Struthio camelus: one gene and its partner. The protein of the gene in region 2 binds, or shares a complex with, the protein of the main gene of each other region. Links are inferred from orthologs where the notes say so. Each region holds a gene or a part of one and is shown on either strand. Other genes may lie near its edges.

Evidence for each region. The genes of interacting proteins can lie anywhere in the genome.
Region 1: COQ7 (region 2) and COQ4 share a complex: the UniProt entries of both Homo sapiens proteins name them as parts of the multi-subunit COQ enzyme complex. The link is inferred for Struthio camelus from reciprocal best matches to the Homo sapiens genes COQ7 and COQ4.

The regions. Positions count from the first base shown.
Region 1 is NC_090961.1:7,544,881-7,548,480, forward strand, and holds the start of COQ4 (ubiquinone biosynthesis protein COQ4 homolog, mitochondrial), read left to right. Parts: upstream 1-1,223; 5' UTR 1,224-1,234; coding exon 1,235-1,308; intron 1,309-2,101; coding exon 2,102-2,283; intron 2,284-2,813; coding exon 2,814-2,910; intron 2,911-3,600. Other genes in the region: TRUB2 (pseudouridylate synthase TRUB2, mitochondrial), read right to left, coding at 97-158, 719-793, 878-994, 1,081-1,192. UniProt on the Homo sapiens protein: Lyase that catalyzes the C1-decarboxylation of 4-hydroxy-3-methoxy-5-(all-trans-decaprenyl)benzoic acid into 2-methoxy-6-(all-trans-decaprenyl)phenol during ubiquinone biosynthesis.
Region 2 is NC_090956.1:10,261,524-10,269,697, forward strand, and holds COQ7 (5-demethoxyubiquinone hydroxylase, mitochondrial), read left to right. Parts: upstream 1-2,920; 5' UTR 2,921-2,956; coding exon 2,957-3,023; intron 3,024-3,183; coding exon 3,184-3,383; intron 3,384-3,778; coding exon 3,779-3,893; intron 3,894-3,997; coding exon 3,998-4,137; intron 4,138-5,697; coding exon 5,698-5,766; intron 5,767-6,410; coding exon 6,411-6,488; 3' UTR 6,489-6,970; downstream 6,971-8,174. Other genes in the region: TMC7 (transmembrane channel-like protein 7), read left to right, coding at 128-206, 1,332-1,391. UniProt on the Homo sapiens protein: Catalyzes the hydroxylation of the 5-methoxy-2-methyl-3-(all-trans-polyprenyl)benzoquinone at the C6 position and participates in the biosynthesis of ubiquinone.

The sequences.
Region 1 (3,600 bases), on a different chromosome or scaffold from region 2:
TACTGTTTCTAACACGGACAGTTTGGGGCAGCGAGGCAGGACTCAAGCAGGACATTGCCCGCCGACCTTCTGGGCCCGCTCAAAGCCATCACGTACCTTAGTCAGATGGCAGTTGTACAGATCAGTGAGCAGCTTGTTCCCGTGGCCTATGCCAAGCACTGAAACACAAGAGACAGCGGAAACCGTCGCACGTCACTTCTGCGGAAGCACCGATGCAGCGCCGCACACCTATGGCACTTCCCTTCCCCCCCTCCCATGGACGGAGGGGACAAACCTCTGCCTGAGAAACGCCGTCAGACCCCCACCCCGCGGCCGGACTTCGCTTTGTCCAGGACTTTGCACCCGGGGACCACAAGGCAACGAGCTCAGCAACGCCGGCCGCGGCGGGCCCCCCTCGGCCGCCGGGGCAGGGCGAGCGGCTGGCGCAGGCCGTCGGCCGCGGCGTCGAAGCTGCGCGAGGCGGCAGCGCCGCCCGCACGAGGCGTCAGCGCCGCTTGAGGCGTCAGCGCCCTCAGTCCCGCCCGCCCGAGGCCTCAGCACCACCCGCACGAGGTGTGGGCGCCGCTCGAGGCCTCGGCGCCGCTCCGCCTCGGCTCCCGCCGCCCTTCCGCATTCGCGCTCGCCCCGAGGCGGCGGGAGGCCCGGGGGTGTCGAGACCCCCCCCCACACGCCCCCGGCGAGCGAGGCCCTTCCCGGGCGAGCGCCCAGCCCAACCTACCGAGCACCCCCGAGGCCTTCGCGTCCAGCCGGTGCCCCGCGCCCATCCGCAGCCGCCGGAACCTCGGGCCTGTAACTGCAGCGGAGGGCAGGGGGGGTCGGGGCCGGGCTCGCCGCCCCCGCGTGTCCCGTCCCCCCCCCCCCCCCCGACGGCTCTTACCGAGGGGGTGCTCGGCCAGCACGGGCACGCGGGTGGCCACCAGCCCCGGGGCCGCGCCGCCGCCCGGCAGGAAGCGGACGTGGAGCGGCGGGGGCCGCCGCGCCGCCGCGTTCAGCTCTGCGGGACGGCGAGAGCGGCGGTGAGGGGGGGGGGCCGCCGGCCGCCCCCCCCCCCCCCCGCCGCCGCCCCCCGGCCCCGCTCACCGCGCAGCAGCCGCGCCTCCACGGCGCCGCGCACGCCGTCCCACGCCACCCCCGGCGGCTTGTACACGGCGAACAGCCCCGACGGGAAACCCCGCGCCGCCGCCGCCGCCATCGTCCCGTCCCGCCCCGCGCGGCCCCGGCGCTTCCGGGCGCGATGCTGGCGGGGCTGCGGCGGGCGGCGGCGGCGCGGGCCCGGCTGAGGCCGGCGGGCGGCGGCTCCCCAGGCAAGTGTCCCTGGCGGGGCCTCGTCCTGCCGCCGCGGGCCCCTGCTCGCCCCGCGGTTGGCCCCCGGCCGCCGCCCCCCTCGCCGGGCAGCCCGCAGGCCCGGGGGTAGGACCCCTGCTCACCCGGGGGGGTTTTTTTGGGGGGGGGGTGCCCGCCGCCTCGGCGAGGGCCCTTTGCGCCCCTCGGGCGTCGCGCCCCTCGGCGGGGCCTCTGCTCGAGGGCCCTTGCGGCACCCGGGTGACAAGTCCCCCAGCAGGCAGCCGGCAGGCCGGGTTTGGGGCACTTCTTGCCCTGTTTTGGGGTGCCCACCACCTCCGTGAGTGCCCTCATGGCAGCAGGGAGCCGGCAGGACCAGGTAGGACCTTGCTCAGCCATTTTTGGGTGCCCACCACCTCTGTGAGTGCCCTCATGGCACCTGGGTGACACATCCCTCATCAGGGAGCTGGCAGGACCAGGTAGGACCTTGCTCAGCCATTTTTGGGTGCCCACCACCTCTATGAGTGCCCTTATGGCACCTGGGTGACGCGTCCCTCATCAGGGAGCTGGCAGGACCAGGTAGGACCTTGCTCAGCCATTTTTGGGTGCCCACCACCTCCGTGAGTGCCCTCACGGCACCCAGGTGTCGCACCCCTCACCAGGGAGGCGGCAGGCCCAGGTTTGGGGCACTTCTTACCCTGCTTTGGGGTGCCCATCGCCTCCACGAGGGCCCTCTCCACATCCGAGTGACGAACCCCTCAGCAGGGAGCTGGCAGGGCCACCCGCTCACGCAGCCCTCCGGGGCCCTCTCTGCAGGCAGGGTATGTCTGAGCCATGCCGAGCCCCAGGTGGCTGCGGGGCGCCCCGCGGAGGACGGACGTGCGGAGGAGCAGGACGGGTGCTACCAGCTGTACCCTGGGCACATCCCCACCAGCCCGCTGCAGAAAGCGCTGCTGGCTGCTGGCTCAGCGGCGATGGCTCTCTATGACCCCTACAGACACGGTAAGCCGAGCCAGGGTGGCTTTTTCCACCTGGGATCCTGTTACTTGCATCCTGCAACTGCTGCCCTGTGTCTCTGCTGGGAGTTTCCAGGGGGGGTTTTATTTCTTCTGCTGGGTGAGACGTTTACTAATGGGGAAGGTGCAGGGCTAAGACCTGCCCCGGGGCAGGATGCTGTGGAGGAGAGGGGTGCAGGATTCCCCTGCACCCCCTAAGCATCTCCTGCCAAGCCCTGTGATGCCAACCAGCCACATCACACTCCTTGTTCTCCCAGGCCTGGAAAGAGCACCTCGCACCCGCTCTCACGTCCCTCCCTGTGGGTCAGACCAAGCAGCATAACCCTGAGGTGGGCAGTCCGTCGTTAGCGTTAACCCTGGGTGCCTTTCTTTGCCACAAGCTTCCTGCGTGGTCCTGGCCAATGCGTTGCCTCGTTTCCTCACCTATCATATGGGGACAGCTGGGTGATGTAAAAATAAATACATTGGATGCTGTGTGTCTGCTGCTCTTGGGTCACTGCCCGGTCTCTCTTTCAGACATGGTGGCGGTCCTTGGGGAGACAACGGGCTGCCTTGTCCTACCGAACCTGCGAGACAAGATGAAACACGATCCTGAAGGTTACCGCATCCTCCAGTGCGTCCCTCCTCATCCCTCTCTCTGCGTCCATGGCTTGTGGGGAGGGAGGCACCTGACCAGTGCGTTCCTTGGTCTGTGTGAAGGGCGAGTCCTGCACTTCCTGTCCTAAAAGGGGCACAGGCATTTTGTTAGTTTTAATCCTCCAGTTTGTTTACTTTACTTTATTTTTAACCATCGCAAGAGCTCTGTGGCAAGTCTAAGGGCAACAGCACAAACGTCACTGGAGCCCAGGCCTATTTCAAGCGCTGGTGTCTGTCTGTTCTGCTTTGCTCCTGTAACTGGTAGGCGCCTTCTCTCTTAGCTGTGATAAAATCCATGGATGTGTTTTTTCTCCCCTGTGTCTGCTGCTGCATCTCCTTGCATTGAAGACTTCATCACTTGCTGGTCTGCTTTCCCTTTAGACACTTCTGTACTTTATTTCCGGGTGCCCGTGGCATCTCCCTAAGCTATGAAATAAGGGCAGTTCTCATGTCATTCTTGTTAGTCTTGATCACTCTTGCCTCCATGTCTGCAGGGAATTGTTGAGCACAGTAAGGCTGGGGACAAGGAGGGACTTCCTGAGCCTCTTATTAACCAAGATCATCTTACTGTTTATTTACTTTCCTTTTCCCTTCTCCTGGTTATTTGTTACGCCTGGTGCCTGTGGTATGCTTGATCCCAGCTGCGCCATGAACTGTCTGGGAGAAA
Region 2 (8,174 bases):
GCCCAGCAGCTTCTCTACTATCTGAAGTGAATGCCCAAATTGGCAATTCCTCTGGCCTTTAACAGCTTTTTTTAACTGATTCTGTGTTTTGCATAATATTAATGTAATGCTGGTTTGCTGTTTGCAGCATCGTTATGTTCTATTTCATTGCCTTGGCTGAAGCACACAAACGAGTTGTTCAGCAGCTGAGGGAACAACTGGTTATGGTGAGATTAGACACATTACTTCTTTTTTTACTGCTTAAGTTTTCTTTGTGTGTTGCATCAGTGATCAGGAGCGCAGAGGAACAGCAGTTTTCTTAGTCTTCCAATTATTTGGTGTTTGGACAGGCAATGAAGAAAGTTTTACAAGTTATACAGGAAAAATCCCAAGCACTAAAGCATTCTTCAGTCTAGTTGGTTTACTTGGGTATCAGCAGCAGCTGGAGCAAGGCCCAGTTATGTCAGCCCACACACGTGTGGGACAGGATGCGCCCCTATGGTGTGGTGCCCCTGTTCTTTACCCACGGTCTTGCGTATGTTTGATCCTGCCAAAGTAGAACCTGAATCTTGTGCCTTCTGCCCCCTCCGCCATTTTACACAACCCCCATCTCTTACCGTCTCCACTCTCGCAAGCAAGAACCTCGTTTTTCCTACCTCGTCGTATTTGGTCTGTTTTCTGAGTGGAGGTCCCAGTACTGCCTGCAACAGATACTCTAGGTACAGCGAGAGATGGAGCAAGTCACCGCTAACAAATCTTTCTGAAAATGTTGCCAGTGCAGATATGCTTATTTGCAGGCCATCAGAGGCTGCTGCCATGCACCAGTTTGATAGCGTTCACATGCTGTGTTCTGAGAAGCTGTGCTGAAGCCAAAATCTAGCCTTGCTAGTAAGGCTTTCAAAGCTTTTTAGGAAGTAGCCCCTCTTTTACTGTATGTTAAATATGGCATTTAAATATGGCATTGTAAGAAAAGCAGTGGGTTCAGCGGAGATATTGAAGAGTAAGTGATTTTGGAGTGAAATTCTTGCTGCTTTGTGAAGGACTCCTATCTGGACTCCTATCTGGACTCCTGTCTTGGCAGTACAATTTTAAAGTTTTATGTGTGTGTCGGATGTTTTTACTAGGCCCAACACAGAACTGTTAACGTGACCTAACGTGAGGTGAATGAAGTCAAGACCGTTGTAGACCTAAAATTGTTTAGACAGCTGAGAGAGTGTGGGGAGCCACTAATCAGCTTAGCATGTAGTGAATACGCTGCTCTGTTTCTCATAAAGACATGAGTTGAATAGAGGTCATTTGTAGTTCCTTCTTCTGTTTATCTAAAAGGCGTATGTTTTATTCTGTCTTTCCAGGAGAGTCGTGACAAGCTGTTCCTAATCAGAAAGATAACAGAAGCTCAGAAGCATACTTGAAAACCCCCCAAAAAACAGAACTTGACTTTCTGAAACTTCCAGAACCACTAGATAAGAGTAGAAATGTCTACAGCACTTAAACCGAATAGCTGACGAGCACCTTGACTCTGCAGTCTATGTAATGAATGTTTTACGTTCTTAATGTTGATTAAGCTAATGGGGCTTAAAAGTTACCCAGACTTGAAATTTAACTTACTTGTACTGTATTAGCCCTGTCCAAAAAATTCAATGGTAGGATGCTTTATTGCTGCTAGAGTTTCAAGGTTGTCAGTGTTTATGTTAAATCCCAGTATTTCTAGGGATTTTGGGTAAAACATGCTCAGAACTGAGATTCCGTTCAGAAACTCTCTGAAGTGCTTTTATAAATTAAGCTTAAGAATTGGTGGGGAGGAGGAGCGATTTTACATGTTTGCAACTCATTTCTCTTTTAAAACCAAAGCAAAAGAAACACTTAAGTCAGTATTTTGAAATAGTGCATTGGAGGGAAAATACTGCATGAGTTTTAAATCAGTTTTCTAAGTATTTCTCTAAATTTTAGAGAAGAGGCTTAGACCTTTTGCTCTGAAGTAGCAACTGCAGTTGAACACTAGATAACTGACGAAAATGATTTAGGAAAAAACAAGCAGATAAAAGAATTCTGAATAAATGCTAGAAGAAACCACCAGTTGTCTGAACACGGAGGGGTGTACATCTCTAACAAAGGCAGTCAGTGGCTGTGATACTAGTCCTGCTGCTAGGGATTGGCCTTTGTTTAAACACGTAAGGCTTTCTTGCAGTTTAGTCTGCCCACAAACATCTGGAATACTATTCTTTCTGTTCTAAAATGTGAATGCTGGAGAGTTTAAACAAGTCATTTATAATACAGAAATATAACATTCAGAAACTTTCATGTGCCCGCACCCTTTACGTTCACCGTGATTCTTACCCCCGAAGTGAATCGACGGAGCTGTGTGCCTCTGAGATCAGTATTTCTAAGCAGCCTACTGGGTTTTTTTTTCCTGTATTTGAAGACTGTGGTTCTGTTAAGGATTTTCTGTAGAGAATTCTGGTTGCGTACATTTCTTGAAAGCTATAGTGTAATTAATATGTGAGATGTTGTAGTCTTGTTGTATAATGTTTTGGAAATTTTTTTCTATCTTCTTTTTCAAGAAAGTAACATGCAATAAACGACTCGATTTTTCTTTTTTAATAATGCAGTGTCCGGGGCTTTTATTGAACACTGGAGGTGAGTTGACCTGCGGAGGTTGCGCCCCTCCGTCTTCCTTACCCTCTGGAGGCGGGCAGTGCCTCCGCCGAGTCTGGGCGCAGGGCCGGCGCGCTGCGCCAGCGCGGGCGCTTCTCCGCGCCCGCTCCCAACGGCGGGGCGCTGCCGTTTCCATGGCAGCTGAGCAACGCCGGCCCTGACTGACAGCTCCGTCGCCCAGTGCGGAGCCGCCGAGGAGCGCCGGGCAGCCAATGGGAGGCGCGATGGGGCGGGGCGAGGGAGGAGCGCGGGCTACGGGCCGGCCGTTGGCGATGACGTTACCGCCGGGCGACGCGCCCGAGGAGGCGGCGGGGTCAGCGGGATGGCGGCGGCGCCGCCGGTGCTGCGGCGGTCGCTGGGGCGGTGCCGGCCGCTCTGCGGCGGAGCCGGTACGGCCTCGGCCTCGGGGCGGCTCCGCGCCGGGCGCCGCCGTCCGCAGCAGCCGCGCGCCGGGGCCCTCCCGGGGCCCCACGCTCCCGCCCGTGGCCTCGGCTTCGCCCCCGGCCCCGGCCCGGCGGCGGAACTCGCCTCACGCGTGTCTCTCCGCAGGTCTCGGCGGCGGGTGGCGCCCGCCCGCGAGGGGCGCTTCGGCCCGGCGCTGCAGCACGGGGGTGACCCCGGACGGCATCAACAAGGTCGTCGTGGACCGCATCATCCGCGTGGACCACGCCGGGGAGTACGGGGCGAACCGCATCTACGCGGGGCAGATGGCCGTGCTGGGCCGGTCGGCGGTGGGGCCGGTTATTCAGGTGAGCGGGCTGGAAAGCTGCCGCCTCGTTTCTTCTTTACTTTGCTTTTGTTTAACGGTGGTCGAACAAAGCGGTAGGGCCGTAGCCTTTATAGCAAGGTGGCTAGTTGTGTATGTCTTTCTAAATGGCTTTAAACATGTGTATTCATAAAGAGTGCTTGCATTACTTGATTAAGGGAACTATAACTCAGATATTTGCTGATATTTTTATGTTGCCCGTTTGTAACTATCCTTATTTGCCCTTCTTCCTGTTTCCTTTGTATGTTGTGAATACTTACCTGTAAAGTTAGTGTGGGTGACCTGAGCAACGTGTTTATTTCTGTTCTTGCTATTAGTTTTATTTAAAAAGTCTGCCTTTTTGGTGTTGCGCTTTACTATGATTTGGTTCTGTTTCAGCAAATGTGGAATCAAGAAAAAGATCATCTGAAAAAGTTTAATGAACTAATGGTTGCATACAGAGTTCGACCTACTGTTTTATTACCTTTCTGGAATGTAGCAGGCTTTGTTTTAGGTGAGCTTCTACTATTATTATTGTTTTATGAATTCTTTGAATGTATAAATTATTCATGTTGCTTTGAATTTCATTGTTTGGATTTGTTTGTACCACAATCATAGGGGCTGGAAGTGCTTTACTTGGAAAAAAAGGTGCAATGGCTTGCACAGTGGCAGTGGAAGAGAGCATATCGGATCACTATAATAGTCAGATCAGAACTCTTATGGAAGAAGATCCAGAAAAATACAGAGAATTATTGCAGGTATTTTACTGTGACCTAAAAAGTAGTTTAACAAACTAATTGAATTATGTAATGAGACTTTTTTTTAGAACAATGTGACAGTAGAATTGCAGTAGATCTTTTCGTCCTGTAACTTAAAACTGTGAAGGCAACAGAAACCTTAAACTAAAAGAATGGTTGTTCCTTTAACATGCTAAATTGATCAAACACCAAAATTAAAATATGTTAAATCAACCTCAGCACACTTTCAGTAATTCAGTAATTTTCTTTTGATTGGGAGAATTGTACTTTAATTTTGAATGTTTTTAACTGAAATGAAGAGTTTAGAGTAAAAGAAAATGGGAAAAGTGTGAGGAGTTGTGTGGTAATATTTTGGTTATACTGGATGTGATTATATTATTCAAGCGTTGAATACAGAGTGTGAAAGGAGCCGATATACTTGTTAGGTCTACAAGAAAAATAATTCCCAAGTATTTTAGTCATAAAATTGGGACACGTTTTGTAGGTACTTGTGAGAGAGGACCTGTTTCCACATGCAGCCCATTGAGTTTGTTTGTGCTTTGCTTGCTCTAGGGACTGCATGTTCATTCCCAACTCTCTCTGCTGTTGTTATGCTCAGCTGTGCATAGTTTAGCCTGTGGCCGTGTCTGGTTACTCCAAACTTGTCCTGTTGTCACAGAAACAGTATCTGAAGTAACCCAGCCTGTGCTGATGTGTATGACAGAAATATTACTTATAAAAGTAAAGGCTAATAACCAAAAGGTGCAATATAAAGAGGAAAAAGTTAAGCAGCAAGGCTAGTCAGCCGCCTCCAATTGGAGGAGGACTAAAGATGAAAGTGAAAGAGAATATGAACCCTGTGGGCCGGTGTCTGTAGGTGCTGCAAATTACTAAGCACTTCTAGGTATATGTAGGCATCTTAAGAGAAACTTCCTTAAATCTTTCTGACCCAATTGTCAAAATACAGAAGAAAAATAGTGATGTAATTAAACCTCAGCTATTCTATTTGAAGGTGCTGTTTAATTTCTGCACTAGCAGTGCTCTTTGCCTTTGTCTCTGTGAGTTTGTTTTTTGTGCTTCACTTGCTGTTGGAGTCTCTTCACAACTTTTTTTGTCCTCTGTCTTGTTCTTTAGCGTATGCTAGAATGGACGAAAGCCCTGCTGGCTTACAGGGGAACAAACACCCTTAATAAAATCTGGCAAGGCAGCGACGTTAATTTTTTAATTTAATGTGTCCGAGTAACTGTTGTATGTGTGAAGCTAATTAGCATTGCAAGTTACCCTTGACTACAGGTTTTCCTGAAATAGTGGGGAAAAAGTTATATTTTAGATTAACTTTCTAAAGATTTTTCAGAATATTAAAATAACTTTAGGTTTGAGGGATGCTGTAAGCCTGGCAGGACAATTCCTTTCTCAATGAATTGGGGTTTCAGGTCTTTAAGAAGCTGAACGTTTTTGAGAGAGACCTGGGCCTCAGATGCCGACCCTGGTGCATGCAGTGGCCAAAAGCATGTGATTTTTGTATTCTAGCTGCCTCTTTCTCTGTACAGTAGACCTACTAATGACCTACTATTTTTAAAGATAATAAAGCAATTTCGGGATGATGAACGGGAGCACCATGACATTGGGCTCGAGCACAACGCAGAGTCAGTAAGTATAGTGTTAACTCGTTAGTGCTGTTAGCAGGGATCTAGGTGTGATAATCTCCCATATCCAGTGACTGTGACATAATTCTTCATGTGAGGGAAGAAAAAAAAAAAAAAAAAGGTTTGATAGTCCTTCCTGAAAATAGGTGCAAGATAACACTGAAATGGCACTGCATCTTATAGCTTTTTTTTTCCCCGTCTAGAATAGAATTGAATCTGTTGGAATTTATGTGTAATATTAAAGTGATTTTTGCTTTCCTGGGAAGTGTCCCCTGCTCAGATTTAAAGTGTTTATTTAGCGTTATATTGAAAATATTTAATCTAATAAATATTACCCATACAGCTGGGAAATTGAGGCATTGTCTTGATAGACAAACACAGCCGCATTAGGAAGGATGAAATGCTGAACTAAATTTTATGCTCATAGGAGGACTGTGTGACTTCCCAACTTCTTTCTCTTGATTTGTGGAGAAATAGAAAACGTTCTGCTAAGTTGATGTTGATTTAGTTTTATCTAGGGTGGTTGAAATTACAAATATAGTTACATTATTAAAATAATGCTTGCTGTGGCTTATCACAGATTAGATTCAAACAAAACATGTTATTGGAGTGTTAGATGTATGTAATCTTTTATTCTTTCTTTTACAGGCACCAGCTTATTCAGTTTTGAAGATAGCTATACAGCTTGGATGCAAAGCTGCTATATTTTTATCAGAAAGAATTTAATGATATTTTCCGTAGCGATTGTGGTAATAAACTACGACACAAAAATGTGTGAAATCGTGGAAGAAAAATAGTCATTTTATACAGCCTTTTAAATTTTTCTTCACTAAGCATCTGATTAGGCTATCCTTTCTCATATTGAGTACCCGTTCAATAAGTATCTGCATTAAGGTCAGTGGAGCTAAATGTGAGCGAAGATGACAGAATTGGGTCCATACGAACTAAACCTCCTAATTCTGAAACTGTTCACAAGGTGGCAGTAAAATATATATGTATATACATGATTCATACATATATAAAAATGGTAAATGTATTCTCCCTTACCTTCACATTTATATTTATTTGAAGGAAGCTGGAGCTCATTTTAAATTAGTTGGTACTGACTAAGTAGGATATTTTTGAGTTCTGTTTGAAGGGTAAGTAAATGAAGTCCTAGTAATTATTTCTTTTCTGTCTGTCTTGAATAAAGACTGGTTATTATAAGACTTCCATTTGAATACTTTTTTTTGGTGTTTTTAGGGTCACTTCTCAATTCCTTATTTAATCAGAAATTCTATATACCTGATTTTATCCTGAGTATGCAGAAGGAGTGGACCCCTGATGTGAAGCACGTGGGCAGAGCAGTGTAGACCACCTGTAGAATCTCATCTAGTATTTTGTTACAGCTTTCAGCTTTATCTCCCTCTGTATCTAGACTTCAGTGGCTCTTGAATAAGGACTGTGGCTTTCCTAGTGTAGGAACAATTTCCCCCTGTTTCCTGCTGGCATCTTGGTGTGGAGCAATAGAAATACACAAGACAGTTCTGCCTACCTGCTCTGTTAAATGCTGACCAGAGATGACAAAATACAGACAAGAAAATGGCAATGAAATTAGTATGTCTTACACTGGTAAGAAAAGAGACTTCCCTTAACGTGTGTCTGAGAGCCTGGGGATAGAAACTGTTAATGGTTCCAGGCAGGCAGAGAGAGGGATTGGTTTGTGACTCCGTTTGCTATTATTTTAAAACATGATAGATGAAACCTGTAGGGAGTTACGAGTTGCTAATCTTGCTTCCTGCTACATCATTTTTGAGATGGAGTGGGGAATGGCCCGCTGGTGAGACGTGGACACAATTGCAATTGCAGTTCAGGAGATGATAGGAACTTCTTTGCAAGATTGTTTCTGTTGCTCTTTATGTCTTAAGAACTTCCTGACCGTTCTTTTCCTACTGCATTGTCATGGAAGCAAAGTAACTTTCCAAATGCATGTGGAGAATATAAAAGATGGTGATCTCTTGATATAAACATGCAAACTCCCTGCAAGAGACTTGCATTCCCTATAGTTGAGAAGCATGATTTTTGATTGTTTGGCAAGGGAAGCCCTATGAATAATATTGCAGGTCATGTAGAAAGCACACATTCATGCTTTCCCCCTTCTTTCTGTGCTTCTAAAACTTTGGGCAGACAAGGCTTTCTCAACTGCCATAAGCTAACTTTTTTTCTCCCATTGTATGTTTTCATTCGTTTTTTTGCTTAATAAGATAGTTTAGCTTGACAGAGATCAAAGAACAGAATTTGTTGTTTGTCTCTTTTCTGTTTTAAAAACTGCAATGTATTAGAAAGCAACATTTCTTAGCTGACCTGTTCAGTTAGTCATAGTTATGGATGTTAAATAAACCTAGCTGAAAAGGAAAGAACTGGGAATATGGA